4 separate regions of the Mus musculus genome follow, and all the other regions are reported to be linked to region 4. Evidence: microRNA targets listed by miRTarBase, many of them from high-throughput screens and not tested one by one. Region 4 holds a microRNA gene; each other region holds the end of a gene's coding sequence.
What was found. The annotated mature microRNA mmu-miR-3113-5p reads GUCCUGGCCCUGGUCCGGGUCC and lies in region 4 at 1,771-1,792, shown strand. An mRNA with a match to its seed (bases 2 to 7 or 8) in the 3' UTR can be bound and repressed. Matches are read on the target gene's strand: a 7mer-m8 pairs with bases 2 to 8, a 7mer-A1 pairs with bases 2 to 7 and ends in A, and an 8mer does both.

Region 1 (4,287 bases), not on the chromosome of region 4:
ACCATGATCATTTCTCTTGCTGCGGTGGCTTGGGTGGGACAGCAAGTTCACAACCTGCTTCTCACCTACCTGATTGGTAAGTCGTTGAAGAAACATCACATGTTCAACTTAGCAGGGAAGTCTGACTGTGGTGTGTAGTCAGTAAATAGATTGAGTTTTCACAGGACCTATGGGAGTGGGGCAAGGTGAGAAGGAAAGGTTCCAGTCTGTGCTGGGTCACAGCTCAGATTGTGCCCTGTGTCACCAAGGCCTGGGTTTGATGCCCAGTACTGGATAAAGCTGTCATTCCAGCCCTAGATGCAGAAGGAGTAGAAGTTCAAGGTCATCCCTTTCTATATGCTACAGGTCGGGTTCAAAACCAGCCCAGCTAGAGATTCAAGTCAGGGCTTAAGATAGAGCTCCATGGCTAAAAACATGCTTGGTTCAATTCCTGGCTCACAGCAACCTATGACTCTAGTCTCAGGGCATCTGATAGCCTCTGCTGGATTTTGTGGGCACTGGGCACACATATATTCCACATATATGCTTCTAGACAAAGCACTTGTGTATACACATAAAATACAAATCTTTTTTAAAAAGACTGGTCTCTGTTTTCCTGGAGTTCATTAAAGCCAGGTAGGTCGTGAGCAAAGAGGAGTGAGATAGAAGGCACTGTAGTGTGAGCGTGAGTGCACCTTCAGGAGGCACCTTGGCTGCAGTTTTGGGCTGAATCCTGTTGGATGGCTTTTGTGTCACTTCTCCACAGTCCACCCACATTCAACTGTAGTCATCTTCAGAGAGTTAAATATTGTCTCCTCAACTTCATTTTTTTTTTTTTCATTTCTAGTGACATTTGTGCTGTTGCTTCCTGGACTAAACCAACATGGGATCATTCTGAAGTACATTGGAATGGCCAAAAGGGAGATAAACAAACTTCTCAAGCAAAAAGAAAAGAAAAATGAGTAGTGTGGCTGCCGCGGAGTGTGCCCTGGCCCTGGGCACTGAAGTGTTACAGTGGCTCGTTGCTTCCCTCACTCTGCCCTTGTTAATAGAAATTCTCACAGGCCAGGCTCTGTGCGGGCTCTAGTGCCAGGTGTAGCTGGGTACATTCCCCGTCAGTGTGACTTCCTTTCATTTTGACAACTTCCTTCCTTTAAGATGCTAAGTGGTGAACTTTACTGTTTTGTACAGTGAACTGTGACTTTGTTGATGTTTGCTTTAGCTATATTCAAGGCAGTGGTCTGTGGCTACAGGAAGCTGGTTCTACTGTCTGCTTAACAAACTGTCTTTGTGAGTACAGAGATTGGGTTTACCACTTCTGCTGAGGAGACCACTTAAAATTCATTCCTGAGTTTCCACTGTGGGAGAATACCCATGGAATAAGATAAAAAATTAATTCCACACCCTAGTGTGTGTAAGTTCCTCGCTCATAGGAAATGCAACAGTTTGAGGGAGCATTGCCCCTTTGTTCCTGTGAGGACTGGCAGGCTTTGACTGACCTCTCATTCCCTTTGCACTGCTTCAGGTTAGTTCTAGTCCATAATGGCCTTTGAGCAGCAAGCTTTCAGAAGATTATATTTGAGGATTGTAGCAGTTTCTTTGTTTCAGATTGTCAGCTGACTTAAAATGTTTGTGACTTTCCTGTAAGGGCAGCCAGGGATAAAAGTATCCTTTGTTCAATGAGTAGAAAACTAGATTATCTATTAATATTTAAGACCAGGAAAAAAAAAAAAGAGGCTTAAGAGTAAGCCTGGAAAATCTCACTTGTTTTCGTAGTATTGGCTGTATTTCAGTGCCTCCAGCTTTGCACTTGAGAGACAAGTGTTTACTGCTGTTTGACTTTCCCCTTGACATTTCTCAGAAAAATGCAGGGCTGCAGCTGAGAGCAGACTGCTGATTGGTGACTCTGGTCTGCCTAGCTTTTGCAACTCTTTAAGCTTACTGTGATCACGTGCCCTCTCAGTAGGGGGCTTTTAGAGCAGTTGAAATCTGCAGAACTGAACCTCTGAGGGCCAAAATAGGACATTTGGGAACAACTCCTTAACCCATGAACTAGCTGTAACATAGTTTGTGGATCCATGCACTGATGCTGTGAAGCCTGCCCCTGTGTGTATCTGTTCTCTCACCTCCCTAGCACTGTAAGCAGCGGTGCCTCTTGTAGCATGTGTGTTTGTTTTTTAATGTTTCATGACTCCCACTTTGATTTTACATGTTTTCTTGTAAATAAGCCTGCCTTCCTACCTGGAATTTGTGTGTGTGTGACTAATACATGTTCTACGAGTTAACTACTTTGGCAGTTTTAATCATTTCTTCTTTGTTTTGTGGTAAAGGGGAAAAATTAAAAACCAGTTGGAACCCTTTTGTCTCACTTTCTTTGTTAACTCTGAGTTTATGAATCTAACTAGTGACCACCTGTTGTCATTGGAGCTCTTCTCTAAGGTACCCATGTCAGATGGAAAGGGAGAACACTGAAGAGGAGGAGACAGTGGAGACTCAAAAGATCGTGTACTTAAGCTCCCAAAGCAGGTGGTTGATAATCATCAGTAGTTGATAATCATTTGTCTGCCTTTTAAAATTTGGGTGTCATAACTTGCGGTCTCATTGGGAACAGGCTCCATCCACCCTTAAGCATACTTCCCTTTCTGCAAGTTCAAGTAAAGTCACAAATCCTATGGCTTTGAAATTGCTGACTTGTAATCTCTTGCGGCCAGCCCTGACTTCATGGGAAGACTTCAAAAGTTTAAAATCACAAAAGAAAACTCTGTTCTCTCATTGTGGTAATTGCTCAGGTCAGCTGTGTCTGAGTGCCCTCCTGAGGTTCTCTCACATTCAGGCTCACATGGAGACAGACATTAGGATCTGTGCCCTGTAGGTCTGGGCCTTTGGTACTTCTAGACAGGCTCACAGAAAGCCTGGGTAGGCCTTGGACTCCTGGCCCTTCTGCCTTCACCTCAAACAGTCATGTGTCACTTCACCCAACCTAGTTTTTAAGTGTCTGTAAGGTGTAGTTAAATGCCAGCAGCTCATCTTTGATTAGTTCTAATTTGCCTCTAACAAATCACAAACGTGAGTCAGTTTTTACTGGGTTCTTTTTTTTCCACTTCCCTCCAGCCCAGCCACCCCAAATTTCCCAATTTCTATACAAGTGCACACACATACACACACCCCCTCTAGGAGCTCATCAGCCTGGGGCCATCTAGATTCTGTGGCACACCAAGGTCACAACACTGGGATCAGCTAGCCAAATCCCCACAGAACTAACTAGGATCTCAGATTCATTAACTACCACCCCTCCCCACTGCTGCTTTGATCTGAATTCCTGAAGTCATTCCTATTGGGTCCATGTTAAGGAAATTGGGAGACTGGATGTGAGTTTGAGGTCAGTCTGAAATAGACCTGTGCTCAAAATCCTTATAAACCTTGGGAAAGCCTGTGGTCCTTTTGTGGGGTGAATTATGACTGGGAATGAAGACTTCCCCTGTTGTGAGAGAAGATGAAGGGGACTCTGGCGGCCAGAGCATGACAAAGATGGTTCTGGCGGGCCTTTTTCTTCTCCCTTCCTCTTTTCTAAAAACTATTAGGTTACATTCCTAAAGCTCTCTTATTTGGTCACTTATTTGCTCACTTCCTTCTGAGGCTGACTACCAAGGTCCAGCTTTCAAAGGATGGAGGTCCAGCAACCAAAAGTCCCCTTGCAGCTACCCTAATTAACGTGTCTAACCAGAGTTAGACACTTCATCCTAACAAGAGGTTTTTTCCCCCTTTACCCTCATAAACTGTCGTTTGCTCAAGGGCCACACCTGTCTCCTCTCTATGCAGAGGCAGTTCTTTGTTCCCAGGACTTACATCCTTTCCCTCCCTCTCCCTTGTTCCCCTCTCCCTCACCTTCTATCTCCTGTCTTTGTCTCTCATTCCCTGTCCTTTGTTCCTCTGGGGGAAATAAATCTTGTGCCAAACACTGCTGAGCACTGCCACATTTGTGTGGTCTCTCAAAAGCTCCTCTGAGTGGTTCTATCATCCCTGTTTTAGAGATGGAGAAACTGATTTGTCCATTCAGTTTTTTCTTCAACTATATGTCGAGGACCTACTATGTGGCAGATGCTTCTCCAGACTTAGTGTGAACAGCAATGAACGAAGCTTCCCGAACCTCTGTAGGCTTGAAGCTTAATGGTCCAGGCTAGGAGTCAACAGATTCACTTGAGGTGTAACCCCAGTTACAGAAGTGAGGCAGACAGATCACAGGGCTGCATAATAGGAGGAGGAGGAGGAGGAGGAGGAGGAGGAGGAGGAGGAGGAGGAGGAGGAGGA
Region 2 (4,287 bases), not on the chromosome of region 4:
CAGCTGCCTAACTCCACTGTATTAGAACTTACGGGGCAATTCATAATAACATGCCCCCAATGCTGTGAAACTGTGGAGTGTCTACTGTCCTTCGTGAGCTTCTCAATTTACTTTAGTAATGTTCAGTCCAGCCACTACCTAGACGATTATGTCATCCTTACCAGAGCTTCCCCAGAACAGTAAATGATGGTAGTCTGAGACAGTTGGTCCATCTGACTTCATGGAGCTCCTTGCTTCAATGTCCTCACAGAGCAAGATGTATTGGAAGGATTATATGTACAGATGACCTTGATGTCCCTTTTGTGTTCTTGCAGTTTACAGAACCCTACAGGAGGAAAGGCATTCCGTGTATTCGCTGTTGTTTGACCGGGAACACTTGGAAGGGTAACAGAAAGCCTGCTCCAAATGCCACATTTCTGATGTCTGTATACAACTGTAACATTGCTGTACAGAAGAGAAAACGTATTGCCAGCCCACCATGAGACTACAAATGCGGGCCACTCTTGATAGACAAAGTCTATAAAATAAAATATTAGCTTTGGGGAAATTAATGAACATTAATGGTTTTAGAAATCCTGTGTTAAATATTGCTATATTTTCTTAGCAGTTATTTCTACAGTTAATTACATAGTCATGATGTTCTACATTTCTTATATTATATGGTGCTTTGTATATGCCACTGATGAAGTATATCTAAAGTGACTGTGAATGGCCCTTAGAGAATTATCTGTGCATTGAAAAGCAATCAGCCTGAAAACTAAATGAAACTTTTAAGTCACTTTTGTTTTTCAAACCAGTCCAGTATTCAGTTCTGACCTATTTTAAATCTCTATCTGCCTTACCCTTAGGACTGGGCAGTTTTTTCTCTTGTGTTAAGTTTCATTGTGCAGAATATTAAGTCCTGATGTGGCACTTGTTATTTTGTATTAAAATAGTCTTTTAATTTCCAAGTGAGAATATTTGGTTCCTTGGGAGGGGCCACACTGGCATGTGGGGAAAGCCCAAGCAGTGTGATGGAATCATGTAGTAACTAGAGGGGGAGATGGCAGTCAGAGCTTGCTGACAGAGTTGTTATTTGAACTGAGTTCACTTTTTTCATCTTTTTTCATTTGTATCCTGGCAGGTACTTCTGCAGGCCAGGAAGTATAATTAAAGAGAGAGAGAGAGAGAGAGAGAGAGAGAGAGAGAGAGAGAGAGAGAGAGAGACTAACGAACTGGTGCATTATATTATTATTACCACTGGTTTTCATAATGGTAAACAGCTTTATGTATAAACCTTTCATTAGTGTGATCCTATGGTAGTGATGCATTTGTTTCTGTGAAAATATATGTGCTTTGATACTTAAATTCTGTAAAATGTTAGGGTATTTTTTATTCCTGCTGGTGAATTTTTCCATAAGAATATTAAAAGTAATAAGTTTCAAAAAGATTATTTTTACTTTTACATGCATGGTTTGACTTGGAATCATTCTAAAAAAAAAAAAACAGAGTTGATTTTATTTATCTAAATTGACTTACTGACATCAATATAAATAAGTGGTTCCTAGTAGAAATGCACAATTTCTACCTAATCATGCAGAGATTTGCTTTTTGGAAAAATAGTCATTTATTTAGAAACATTATAACAAGAGAAATGTTGAATAAGAGGAGTGCTATGAATTTAATAAAAAAGAAATGAAGTATCAGACAACAAGGTAATGATTATAATTATGGAAGAGCTGAGTAGAAAATAACTACTTCAAATATTTTTATATGAGTAGGGATATAGAAGCCAATACAATGGAGATAATTTGAATGCAGGGATCAGGGAAAGGAACTGGGTAATACAAAAGAAAAATGAAAAGCAGAGTGTCAGAAGTAATTTCAGAAAAGTAGTTTAAGAATAAGGCAAAATTGCCTGGTCATTTCTTGAGGATTAGCAGACAGTTAAATTGCTCAAAGGGAAATCAAGAGTTTTAAAACATAGTGTTCTAGAATTATTTTTTCCCAAAATACACATTATCAATTTTCTCCATACTGGGTATTTTCACTTTATAGAGAACTAGATTTCATAGGACATTTTATACAAGTGTTTAATCGTAACTTTCCTGCATGTGTGTGCGTGGTTGCATGTGTCTTTCATCCTCTGTGTTCTGGGAACTCTTCTTCCTGGAGAATTTCCATCCCTTTTGCCAGGCTAAGGTTCTGTAGACTGCTCTCTAGTTCAGTTTATAGAGACTGAGACATTTTTGAGGGGGAAGAGATGGAAGGGAGGGGATTGAGGGTGGTTGGTATATACAGCGTATGTGTGAAAATAAAAGTGTAGTATGATGTGGTAAAAGACAATATTGGGCACGCAATATACCATATCTTAGTTTTTGTTATTCTCATTTTTATTTTCATTTTCCATGAAAAAACTGTTCACCTCGCATATTATAGTGCTTCTGTTGGTGAACATATTAAAAACTGATCATTTTCAAAAGATGACTTTCTCTATCCCTTATTCATCATCCTTAGTTCGTCTAAGTTCATTCTTTGAAGGATGCCTCACCAAATATGAAATCTTGCAGAAATTTCCCTACAGTTCTTTTGATATGAATTAAATACTGTCTATTATAAAACCCTTTAATTTGTCTATATTATTATAAATTGTCTTCATATTATGTACAGTTTTTAAAAGTCTAATGTTTTTCTTTTTCTTGGCTGCCCAAGTGTCAGCTGTGGGGTCAGTTCTATCAAAGCAGGGATACTATTCTTGTAAGGCTCAGGACACACTGTGCAAGAGGAAGTAGGAAGTATTGAGCTGGAAGATAGAGTACAGAGATAGGAAACGGTTTTCCAGACTTCTCCAACCAATGCAATGGTCAGCTCATGAAAATTGTACTTACCTACAGGGGCCCACACAAAAATGACTTATCAAAAATCAGTCGAGGAAGGAGACACCCACATGAATCTCCACATCTCCCTCTTCTTAGCTAGGTTGCTGTTAATGAAAGCAAAAGCAGCTTAAGAAGGAAAGGATTTCTTTGGCTTATGGGTTGTTGAAGAAAGCCATTACAAGAACCTGAAGTAGAGACCATTGAGGTGAGCTGATTACTAGTAGCTATTACCACACATAACGAACTGGATTCTCCCACATCTATTGTGCACTAAGAAAGTGTCCCACAGAATTGTACGCAAGCAAATTGAATGAAGGTAATTCCTCAACTGAGATTCTCTTTTCCCAGGTGACTCATGTTTGTATCAAATTTAAAACAAATGAAGCAGCACAGCTCTGAGCCAGTGCACACAGGTGAATTCTAAAAGAAAGGGACTCCCCTGCTTTTAGTTTTGTATCTACTGCTGAGTCCACTAAGGTGTGGTAGCTGCAAACCATTTGTTATATTAATCTCAATGGGTTGAGAAACAAGATAAATAGACTTGAACTTGGGATTTTTTGAGGGAGACAAGATGTAAAGGAGGGGATTGAGAGCGGTTGGTATATACAGCTTATGTGAGGAAAAAAAAAGTGTAATTCAGAATCTTTTTAAAAAGAATGAACGATATGAGAATGGTAGATTCTGAGAATGTAGGATCTACCCGACCTAGGAATCCATTTTCTCTGCCACACAGTACAATTATATGACTGATTTTTATTCAGATCAAAATTGCTTTGTATAAGTGAATGAATGAACACTAGTGGTTGAATGAACACAGTTGAATGAACACTAGTGGTTCCTCATTTTTTTTGTGATGACAACATAATAGAAGCTACTAACGTGCCAGCTGCTCTGTATTTAGATTCTTTTTCAAAGGCCAATGTTTATAGAATAGTATTCATATCACTAGTGGACCTTGAAAACCTGAGTAGACCTTATGTTACTTACTGTAGTTTTCCATCCATTGAAATAATCAGTGTATTTTAAACAAAAACAAATTGCTATTCTAATTTTTAGCTAGTTTGCATATGCCAATGGCCATTTTTTCTCTTAATGTTTTATTCTATGAGAATGTCATATATGTTCACAATTCATTTTGGTCATAGCTATCCATCAATCCCTCCCTCCGACTCCCCTGAGGAAACTTTTCCCAACACAGCTCCTTCTCAGTTTCATATCTCTGTTTTATAAAACCAACTAAATTCAGTTAGCACTTCCTATATATGAAGAGGTATGAGGTGATGGGTATGGGCAGTCTACTAATCCTCCCAGCACCAAGAAGAGTAACTTTCCCTCCCTTAATAGCCATCACCTGAGAAAATGGGTTTTTAAATTGAAAAATTAAGTCCCATCCATGCTGAGACTTTTGACTGTCTTGTACTCATGTTGT
Region 3 (4,287 bases), not on the chromosome of region 4:
CAACTGTTGGGAATACTACCGCTCCCAGTTTAAGAATGTTTGTAAAGAGGCCTACATAGCACCTGACACTTTGCCAGGATCAGCCCTGTCATAATACACTGTCTAGTGTCTGTTGGCAGTGGCTGAAAGAAGCTGGCAGGATGGGGGGCACCTTTTACACATACCCTGTGCAGAGTCCAACAGTAATTTTAGACGCTCTCCCTCTCTTCCCCACCCAGTGTCCTCACTCCCAGGCTAGGCGGGTAACTAGCTCCACACTCTCCAGGTCTGCTGTTGCTGAGGCTTAGCGGGTTTTGCATGGCTGAAGGCAGAGACTGAACATAGTTGTGCATGCTTATAATTGCGGCACTCGGGAGGTGGAGACAACAATCTCAGAATTGAAGGTCATACATAGTGATCTTGAGACCAGCCTGGGCTACTTGAGACCCTGTCTAAAACATGTCCAAAGAACACAAAATAAAACTGCTGAAGTAAGATGACCGGTGTGTGCTAAAACAGAACAGTTGCCAAGGAGTGTGGTATAGAAGCAGCTGAGCCTGTGTGTACCATGTGCTCCCATGTGTTCCTCTCTTCAGAAGAGTGTTGAGGAAGAGGGTGATATAGGTGCCATGCAGCAGTACTAAGAGCCCTAGGATCCAGTGGTGAAACAGTAAGTGACCAAGTCTCATTTGTACAGCGATCCCTCTGTGAGAGCGAGCAGGTTCGGGTCCAGGCTGCTCAGAAGCACACCTTGGTATGGGCCTTGAGGCAAAGGCCCCCTACGGACTGGAACCTCCCTCTACCACAGGAGAAGGACAAGTGATAAGCAACTGCAACCCTACCCTTGACCTAGACTTTGACTGGCTCTTACTTGACCTGGAACACAGAGCAAAGCATTTCCAGCCCTAATTGCCTGCTGCCCACTGGATCTGGGCATTTCATCACTGTAATACTCTGAAAGACACCTGTGTGCACATGCTGGAAGCCAAGCACTGAGGCAGGTGTCTGTGAGCACTCAGGTGGGTCCATTCTGTCCATGCCATCTCCCCTGAGAACATCAACACCAGATGTGGCAGCCGAGAGTTGTGAAAATCTCAAGTACACAGTGGCAGCCCCAACCTGTGTGGATCCAGGGCACAGTAGTTAGAATAAGGTTGCTAGACTACCTTATTTTGATTATGAATGACCCTCCTTGGCCATGAGAGATGGACTGCAATGTCTTGTCTAGTGATTATCGTGGTATGCAAGTGCGGAGCTCATGCTTGCTCAGCTTCCCTGGAGACACGGAAGAGCATGCTCAGTGGGTAGGCAACTTGTCCTCTGCACCAGCACCTTTTACTGGTTTTGCAGACTTTGAAAGAAAGAGAGAGAGAGAGAGAGAGAGAGAGAGAGAGAGAGAGAGAACTGGGTGGTGGTGGCCCACGCCTTTAATCCCAGCACTCGGGAGACAGAGGCAGGCCAGCCTGGTCTACAGAGTGAGTTCCAGGACAGCCAGGAGCTACACAGAGAAACCCTGTCTCGAGAAAAAAAAAAAAAAAAAAAAACAACAACAAAAAAAAGAAAGACAGACAGACAGACAGCATTGCAGGAACCAAGGAGTCTGGAATCAAGACATCCAAGTCCCAAGGCACAGACAGAGCTCAGGTCCAAGGACTATGGGGTTTAGGTCTCCTGATTTCTCCTCATTGTTAATGTATTTTTTTAAAAAAGCTGCTTCACATGTTTGATTCCAAAAGCAACCTGAAAATTAAAGCCATGTGACACTTTATACCTGTCTCAATTAGGGTTTCTATTGCTGCTTTGAAACACCATGACCAAAAGCAAGCTGGGGAGGAAAGGATTTAATTTATTCAGATTATATTTCCACATTGTATTCCAAAATCAAGATAGAGACTCAAACAAGGCAGAAACCAGAGGCAGGAGGTAATACAGAGGCTCTGGAGGGGTGCTGTTTCCTGGCTTGCTCCTCAAGGATTGCTCAGCCTGCTTTCTTACAGAACTCAGGACCACCAGTCCAGTGATAGCACCACCCACCAAGGGTGGGACCCTCCCCATCAATTACTAATTAAGAAAATGCCCTACAGGGGCTGGTGAGATGGCTCAGTGGGTAAGAGCACCCGACTGCTCTTCTGAAGGTCCAGAGTTCAAATCCCAGCAACCACATGGTGGCTCACAACCATCCTAATGAGATCTGACTTCCTCTTATGGAGTGTCTGAAGACAGCTACAGTGTACTTACATATAATAAATAAATAAATCTTTAAAAAAAAAAAAAAAAAAAGAAAATGCCCTACAGCTGGAATTTATAGCAGCAGCATTCTCAACTAAGGTTCCCTCCTTTCAGATAACCTAGCTCAGTGGTTGTCAACCTTCCTAAGGCTGTGACCCTTTTATACAGTTCCTCATGTTGTAGTAATGCCCAAACCATAAAATTATTTTCATTGCTACTTCATAACTGTAATTTTGCTACTGTTATAAATCAGAATGTGGGCTGGTGAGATGGCTCAGCGGTTAAGAAGAGCACTGACTGCTCTTCCAGAGGTCCTGAGTTCAATTCCCAGCAACCACATGGTGGCTCACAACCATCTGTAATGAGATCTGACAACCTTTTCTGGTGTGTCTGAAGACAGCTACAGTGTACTTTTATATAATAAACAAACAAACAAACAAATATTTAAAAACAAAACCAAACAAACAAAAACCACCATGACCAGCTACAGTGTACTTACATATAATTAATTAATTAATTAATTAATTAATTAAATCGGAATGTAAATCTCTGATATGCAGGATACCTGATATACAACCCCTGTGAAAGGGTTGTTCAACCCCTAAAGATGTCGAGACCCACAGGTTAAGAACCATTGCTACCTTGTGTCAAGTGGACATACAGCTATATAACCAACAATGCTATATGCTATATACTCAGATTATTATTTTGTTCTCTTATAGTGTTTTAAATATATACTTAAATATACACATGTGTGGCTGCATGCATACACAAAAATATATGCATGAACATAAGTCCACACATGTGTGCACATTTGTGAGCATGCACACATGCATATACTATACTCATGAACACACATGCACACACACACATGTGCACACAAACATGCACTCATGCATGTGCACATGAATGAGTATGCACAATACACCCATGTATACAACATACACACGTGTGTACTCATATAGCTGAATAAGCAGTCACATACATACACATGCATACATGAATGCATACACTCAAACACACTTACAAAAGTGCATACATTCAGAAGATGGCCTAATTGGCCATCATTGGGAAGAGAAGCCCCTTAGTCTTGCAAACTTTATATGCCTCAGTACAGGGGAACGCCAGGGCCAAGAAGTGGGAGTGGGTGGGTTAGGGAGTAAGAGGGGAGGGTATGGGGGACTTTTGGGATAGCATTTAAAATGTAAATGAAGAAAATACCTAATTTTTTAAAAGTGCATACATTCATACAAGCACACATACACAGACGTGCATGTACATACACATAGACACATACATACACACACAAGAACACTAGGTCTCATAGAGGTTTCTTTATTTTTTTAATGTTTTAGAGATTTATTTCTTTTTTTTTTCCATTTTTTATTAGGTATTTAACTCATTTACATTTCCAATGCTATACCAAAAGTCCCCCATATCCACCCACCCCCACTCCCCTGCCCACCCACTCCCCCTTTTTGGCCCTGGTATTCCCCTGTACTGGGGCATATAAAGTTTGCAAGTCCGGGCTGGTGAGATGGCTCAGTGGGTAAGAGCACCCGACTGCTCTTCCGAAGGTCAGGAGTTCAAATCCCAGCAACCACATGGTGGCTCACAACCATCCGATCACGAGATCTGACTCCCTCTTCTGGAGTGTCTGAAGACAGCTACAGTGTACTTATATATAATAAATAAATAACTCTTTAAAAAAAAAAAAAAAAAAGTTTGCAAGTCCAATGGGCCTCTCTTTCCAGTGATGGCCGACTAGGCCATCTTTTGATATATATGCAGCTAGAGTCAAGAGCTCCGGGGTACTGGTTAGCTCATAATGTTGTTCCACCTATAGGGTTGCAGATCCCTTTAGCTCCTTGGCTACTTTCTCTAGCTCCTCCATTGGGAGCCCTATGATCCATCCATTAGCTGACTGTGAGCATCCACTTCTGTGTTTGCTGGGCCCCGGCATAGTCTCACAAGAGACAGCTACATCTGCGTCCTTTCAATAAAATCTTGCTAGTGTATGCAATGGTGTCAGCGTTTGGATGCTGATTATGGGGTGGATCCCTGGCTATGGCAGTCTCT
Region 4 (4,000 bases):
TAGCACGAAGTAGATTTGTGTCGTAAAGAATGCCCTTTCGTGATCAAGCCAAAGATCCAGAGACCCAGTACCACTCAAGAAGGAGAAGAAATGGAAACTGATATGGATGGTAATTAACAAGTTATTAAGCCAATGATATTTCCATGTATGTGATTTTTCTATTATCCTATCCAAATTCTAATTCTTACTCATAAATTAAAAGGCACACAGGTTTCCAGGTATATCTTTCAACACTTTTTATATAAATGATATATAAATTGTTAGGGATAGACCTGGGAGGTAAAGCTACAGTAGACCACTAAAGTCACTCTACACATTTTTTTAGTTTATTATCTTATTTACACTACTAAAACCTAATAAGCACCGTGTAGTCAAAATACTGTCTTTTTTTTTTTTTTTTTACCTGATAAATTACCTGGAGACTATAAACTCATAAATGAGACCTTGGAAAACTATCTTAAGATCAGAGATTTTAATTGGTTATTGTTTAGGGATCTTTTAAGTGACAAAATTACAATTGCAAAACCAGATCATTTTAGTTTTCATGTGTGTTATATGGGTTTTTTTTAACACTTTCATCTCTTTCCTAATAGAATAAAAATTCATAATAGAATAAAAAATACTGCCCCAAGCAGATTTCTTATAATTTGCAATAGTCTTAATGACAGAGATTATTATTGTGTATCTTACTATGTTTATGATAAAAGTACTACAAATGTAACGCGCCGTTTTGTTAATAGTAAATAGTATGTTGTTCCTTTTTCTGACTTTGTTTTTGGGCACCATTATCTGTGCATGTTGCAGTCCACAGAAATCCTTTTGCTCAGTTTCTGTTTCTGTTTTATTGGGAACAAGCTGACATTTAAGTTCACAGGTGAGATTCCAAGTGTTGAATAAAATGTGTTTATTAACTGCTGATAAATAATTGTTGACTATCCATTGTAAATCAGCAATTGTCAGAATTTAATAAGCAGAACAATAAGTGCTTGGTAGATTCTGGCGCCATCTGAAATGCTTGATTCAGTAAATTTGCAACTGAAGACCAGGAAACAAGTATTTAAAACTAATCCAAACGATTGCATTGAATTCTCAAAGAAATTACATACTCAATACAAAGAAAGTTACACAGCTGTTCGTCCTTACTACTTGTGTAAGTAGGTGCATGCATTAAAATAACTTTAAAATGTTACATTTATAAAATTAATAAGATCCCCTTTAAAGTTTACATAACTGAAACATTGTAGATAGTAAATATTTGCTTTTCAAATCTAAAAGTAAATGTTAATGCTCAGTCTTAACCCTCTGCCATTAGCTGTTAATTTGATGTGACTCAATACAACTTTATTTCCTTTTCATTTTCACATCTACAAGTATATAGTTTTTAGAACAGAGAGAGAGGAGAGCACAAACACATTCTGCTTTTATTGTTCATTCTATGTATCATAGCCATCCTTCCCTATGAACATCAGTGCTTTTTATATTTGTTAATTAACCTCTGTTAGTAGTCTTGACTTACTACCTCCCTCTTAGCAGTAACATACAAAGTTGCATGTTTTACATCTCACTCAGTGGACGAAGTTTTCTCAGAAATCTTTCTTTTCTTAGTACCTTTTATTCTAATTAGTTTCTTTATCATAACTTGTACTTTAGTTGCAGATGTAACTATGGAAAGCAGTCCAGGCTCGTCCATATCTATGGAGCACCGGCTGGATGTTGAATTAAGGGCATCAAGTTCCAACAGCAGCACTAGCATCTCTGGCCCTGGCCCGGGTCCTGGCCCTGGTCCGGGTCCTGGCCCTGGTCCTGGCCCTGGTCCTGGTCCTGGCCCTGGCCCTGGCCCTGGCCCCGGCCCTGGCCCTGGTCCTGGCCCTGGACCCCGTCCTGGTGCGTAGACACATAGATACACAGTCTTTTACAGTGACTGACTTATTAAACTAGTGAAGAAGAGAACATTACACGGCACTTATTGGTACATTTGAGGATAATCTTATAAGAACATGTCTTGCAACATTTTATGGTCTTCTGTTAGTTCACACAGTATCAAAACAGACATTTCGGAGGGCAGATAATATCCAAAAGTGAAGTTTGAAGTTGAATCTTTTTACTCTACAGTATTTCTGTTTTTATCTTTTTCTTTTTGTTCCTCTGTCTGTCTGATTTTAATACCGGTCATATGCTATCTTTGGTGATTTAATTTCAGCTTTCAGAATACTCTCTCTCATGTCCAGAGATCTCACTTTAAATGTCTGCTAGTTTTGCTTTAGTGGATATAGACGGGTCTCTTAGTACATGTTTTGTGTGCCTCTTCACTGTGATTTAATAATGAGCACAATATGATACTTTTTTCTTTCTCCCATGTTAGGAGTTCAGTGTATTCCACAACGAGCAGCACTTCTCAAGTCCATGTTGAATTTCCTCAAGAAGGCCATTCAAGACCCTGCTTTCTCAGATGGCATACGACATGGTATTTTGATTCTGTATACTGTTTTCTAAGACCACTTGGTTATCCAGATTGTTCTTTTTCATGTTTTCTTGATGTTTTTCTAAAGCATACTTAGTAAACTGATAGCTTTTTGTTACTTAATATGTTTCTTAGACATGAGGGTTACTTACACAACTCCACTTCCCAGCTTTGGATTCTGATCTCTTCTATCCTACTGCCACCTCTCATAGTCTCCATGTCTGTTCTTATTTTGACCCTCTATTCAAGCTAACTGCATGAATAAACTAAGGCGTTATATGAAACAGAGGCCATAGACTTGATCATTTATTTACTACAGTATAACATATTGCTACCCATCACCCTTGATCTTCGTGCCTCACCCAGACTTATCATATGTGGTCTTTGTTCATATTTCTTTTAGTGATGGATGGTTCTTTACCTACCTCTCTGAAACACATCATCAGCAATGCAGAATACTATGGTCCATCACTCTTCCTCCTAGGTGAGTAGAATTGAAGTTCGGGCTAGGTTGAATGTTCTGGCATACATTTATAAAGTACCTGGAGGCAAAAGGCAGTCAGTTCTCTTGAGTTCAATGCCAGCTTGCTGCATGTGTGTGCACGCAAGCTTTTAGAACTTTTTTTTAATTTCTTTTTTTATGAGATATTTTTTCATTTACAACTCAAATGCTATCCCAAAAGTCCTTTATACCACTCCCTACCCTGGACCCTGCTTTCCAACCCACCTACTCCCACTTCCTGGTAAATGCTACAAAGCCCATTGTTTTATCCCACTACGCACTTTGGCATCACAAATGCAAGTTGGAACTCCATTTAAAATTCTATAAAGCAATTTAGGGGGAGATGTAGAAATTGCAATTTCTTTGAACATAGTGGAGTGTACATTGTACAAATACATTATGGGCAGTCTAGAGATTTGTATTTATTATGACTTTACCTTTTTGCTAATGAAACAGTTTATGAATCTGTATTTCTATCTTGTGATCTTGCAGAATTTACTAGTTTGGTTTTCCCTGTTAATGAACCAAAATGTTTCCATTTACTCCAAGGATGGCAATATGACCCAGTATTTCCTTTTTTTAGTGAAACTTCATGAAGCAGGTATACTTTGTAGTTGGATCTATGATATTCCAGTTACTAAATATGAGTACAGGTCAGGTCCTGTAAAGGAGTTGGAGTTGTGACAAAGGAAAATCAGCCTAAGGTAGATTGAAAGAGTTCCTACTGGGAAAATTTGTATCATAGCAGACAGACAGTTAAAAATAGCCTTAACAAAGGATGTTGCACATGCTTTTAGTTAAGTATCTGGGAATAATACTCATAAATGGAAAGTTAACGAGGAAGTATGTGGCAAGGTTACAGTGATCTGTAGTAACTACACACTGAAACTCAACAAATAAGGAATTTGACATTTCTTTTTTTTTTTAAAGATTTATTTATTTATTATATGTAAGTACACTGTAGTTGTCTTCAGACACACCAGAAGGTTAGTATGGTAGAAATATAGTTTTTTTTAAAAAGGCTTGTTAGTGTTGGT

Region 1: the mRNA of Arl6ip1 is a reported target of mmu-miR-3113-5p. Seed matches in the 3' UTR shown: 7mer-A1 at 1,696-1,702.
Region 2: miRTarBase lists Crispld1 as a target of mmu-miR-3113-5p. Seed matches in the 3' UTR shown: 8mer at 1,136-1,143.
Region 3: miRTarBase lists 2510002D24Rik as a target of mmu-miR-3113-5p. Seed matches in the 3' UTR shown: 7mer-m8 at 1,470-1,476.

The regions. Positions count from the first base shown.
Region 1 is chr7:118,116,950-118,121,236 of GRCm38, reverse strand. It overlaps Arl6ip1 (ADP-ribosylation factor-like 6 interacting protein 1), which reads left to right. Exons shown (of 6, transcript NM_019419.2): 5 at 1-76; 6 at 827-2,347. The coding sequence ends at 945. Among named protein-coding and RNA genes, the nearest start is that of Rps15a, 2.9 kb to the right of the region's middle.
Region 2 is chr1:17,763,749-17,768,035 of GRCm38, forward strand. It overlaps Crispld1 (cysteine-rich secretory protein LCCL domain containing 1), which reads left to right. Exons shown (of 15, transcript NM_031402.2): 15 at 315-2,459. The coding sequence ends at 366. Among named protein-coding and RNA genes, the nearest start is that of Gm16070, 38 kb to the left of the region's middle.
Region 3 is chr16:18,838,414-18,842,700 of GRCm38, forward strand. It overlaps 2510002D24Rik (RIKEN cDNA 2510002D24 gene), which reads left to right. Exons shown (of 3, transcript NM_001033164.2): 3 at 677-1,700. The coding sequence ends at 802. Among named protein-coding and RNA genes, the nearest start is that of 2510002D24Rik, 4.0 kb to the left of the region's middle.
Region 4 is chrX:151,857,805-151,861,804 of GRCm38, forward strand. Mir3113 (microRNA 3113) reads left to right here and starts at 1,758; the gene lies at 1,758-1,833. It overlaps Huwe1 (HECT, UBA and WWE domain containing 1), which reads left to right. Exons shown (of 83, transcript NM_021523.4): 16 at 4-109; 17 at 2,363-2,464; 18 at 2,865-2,945.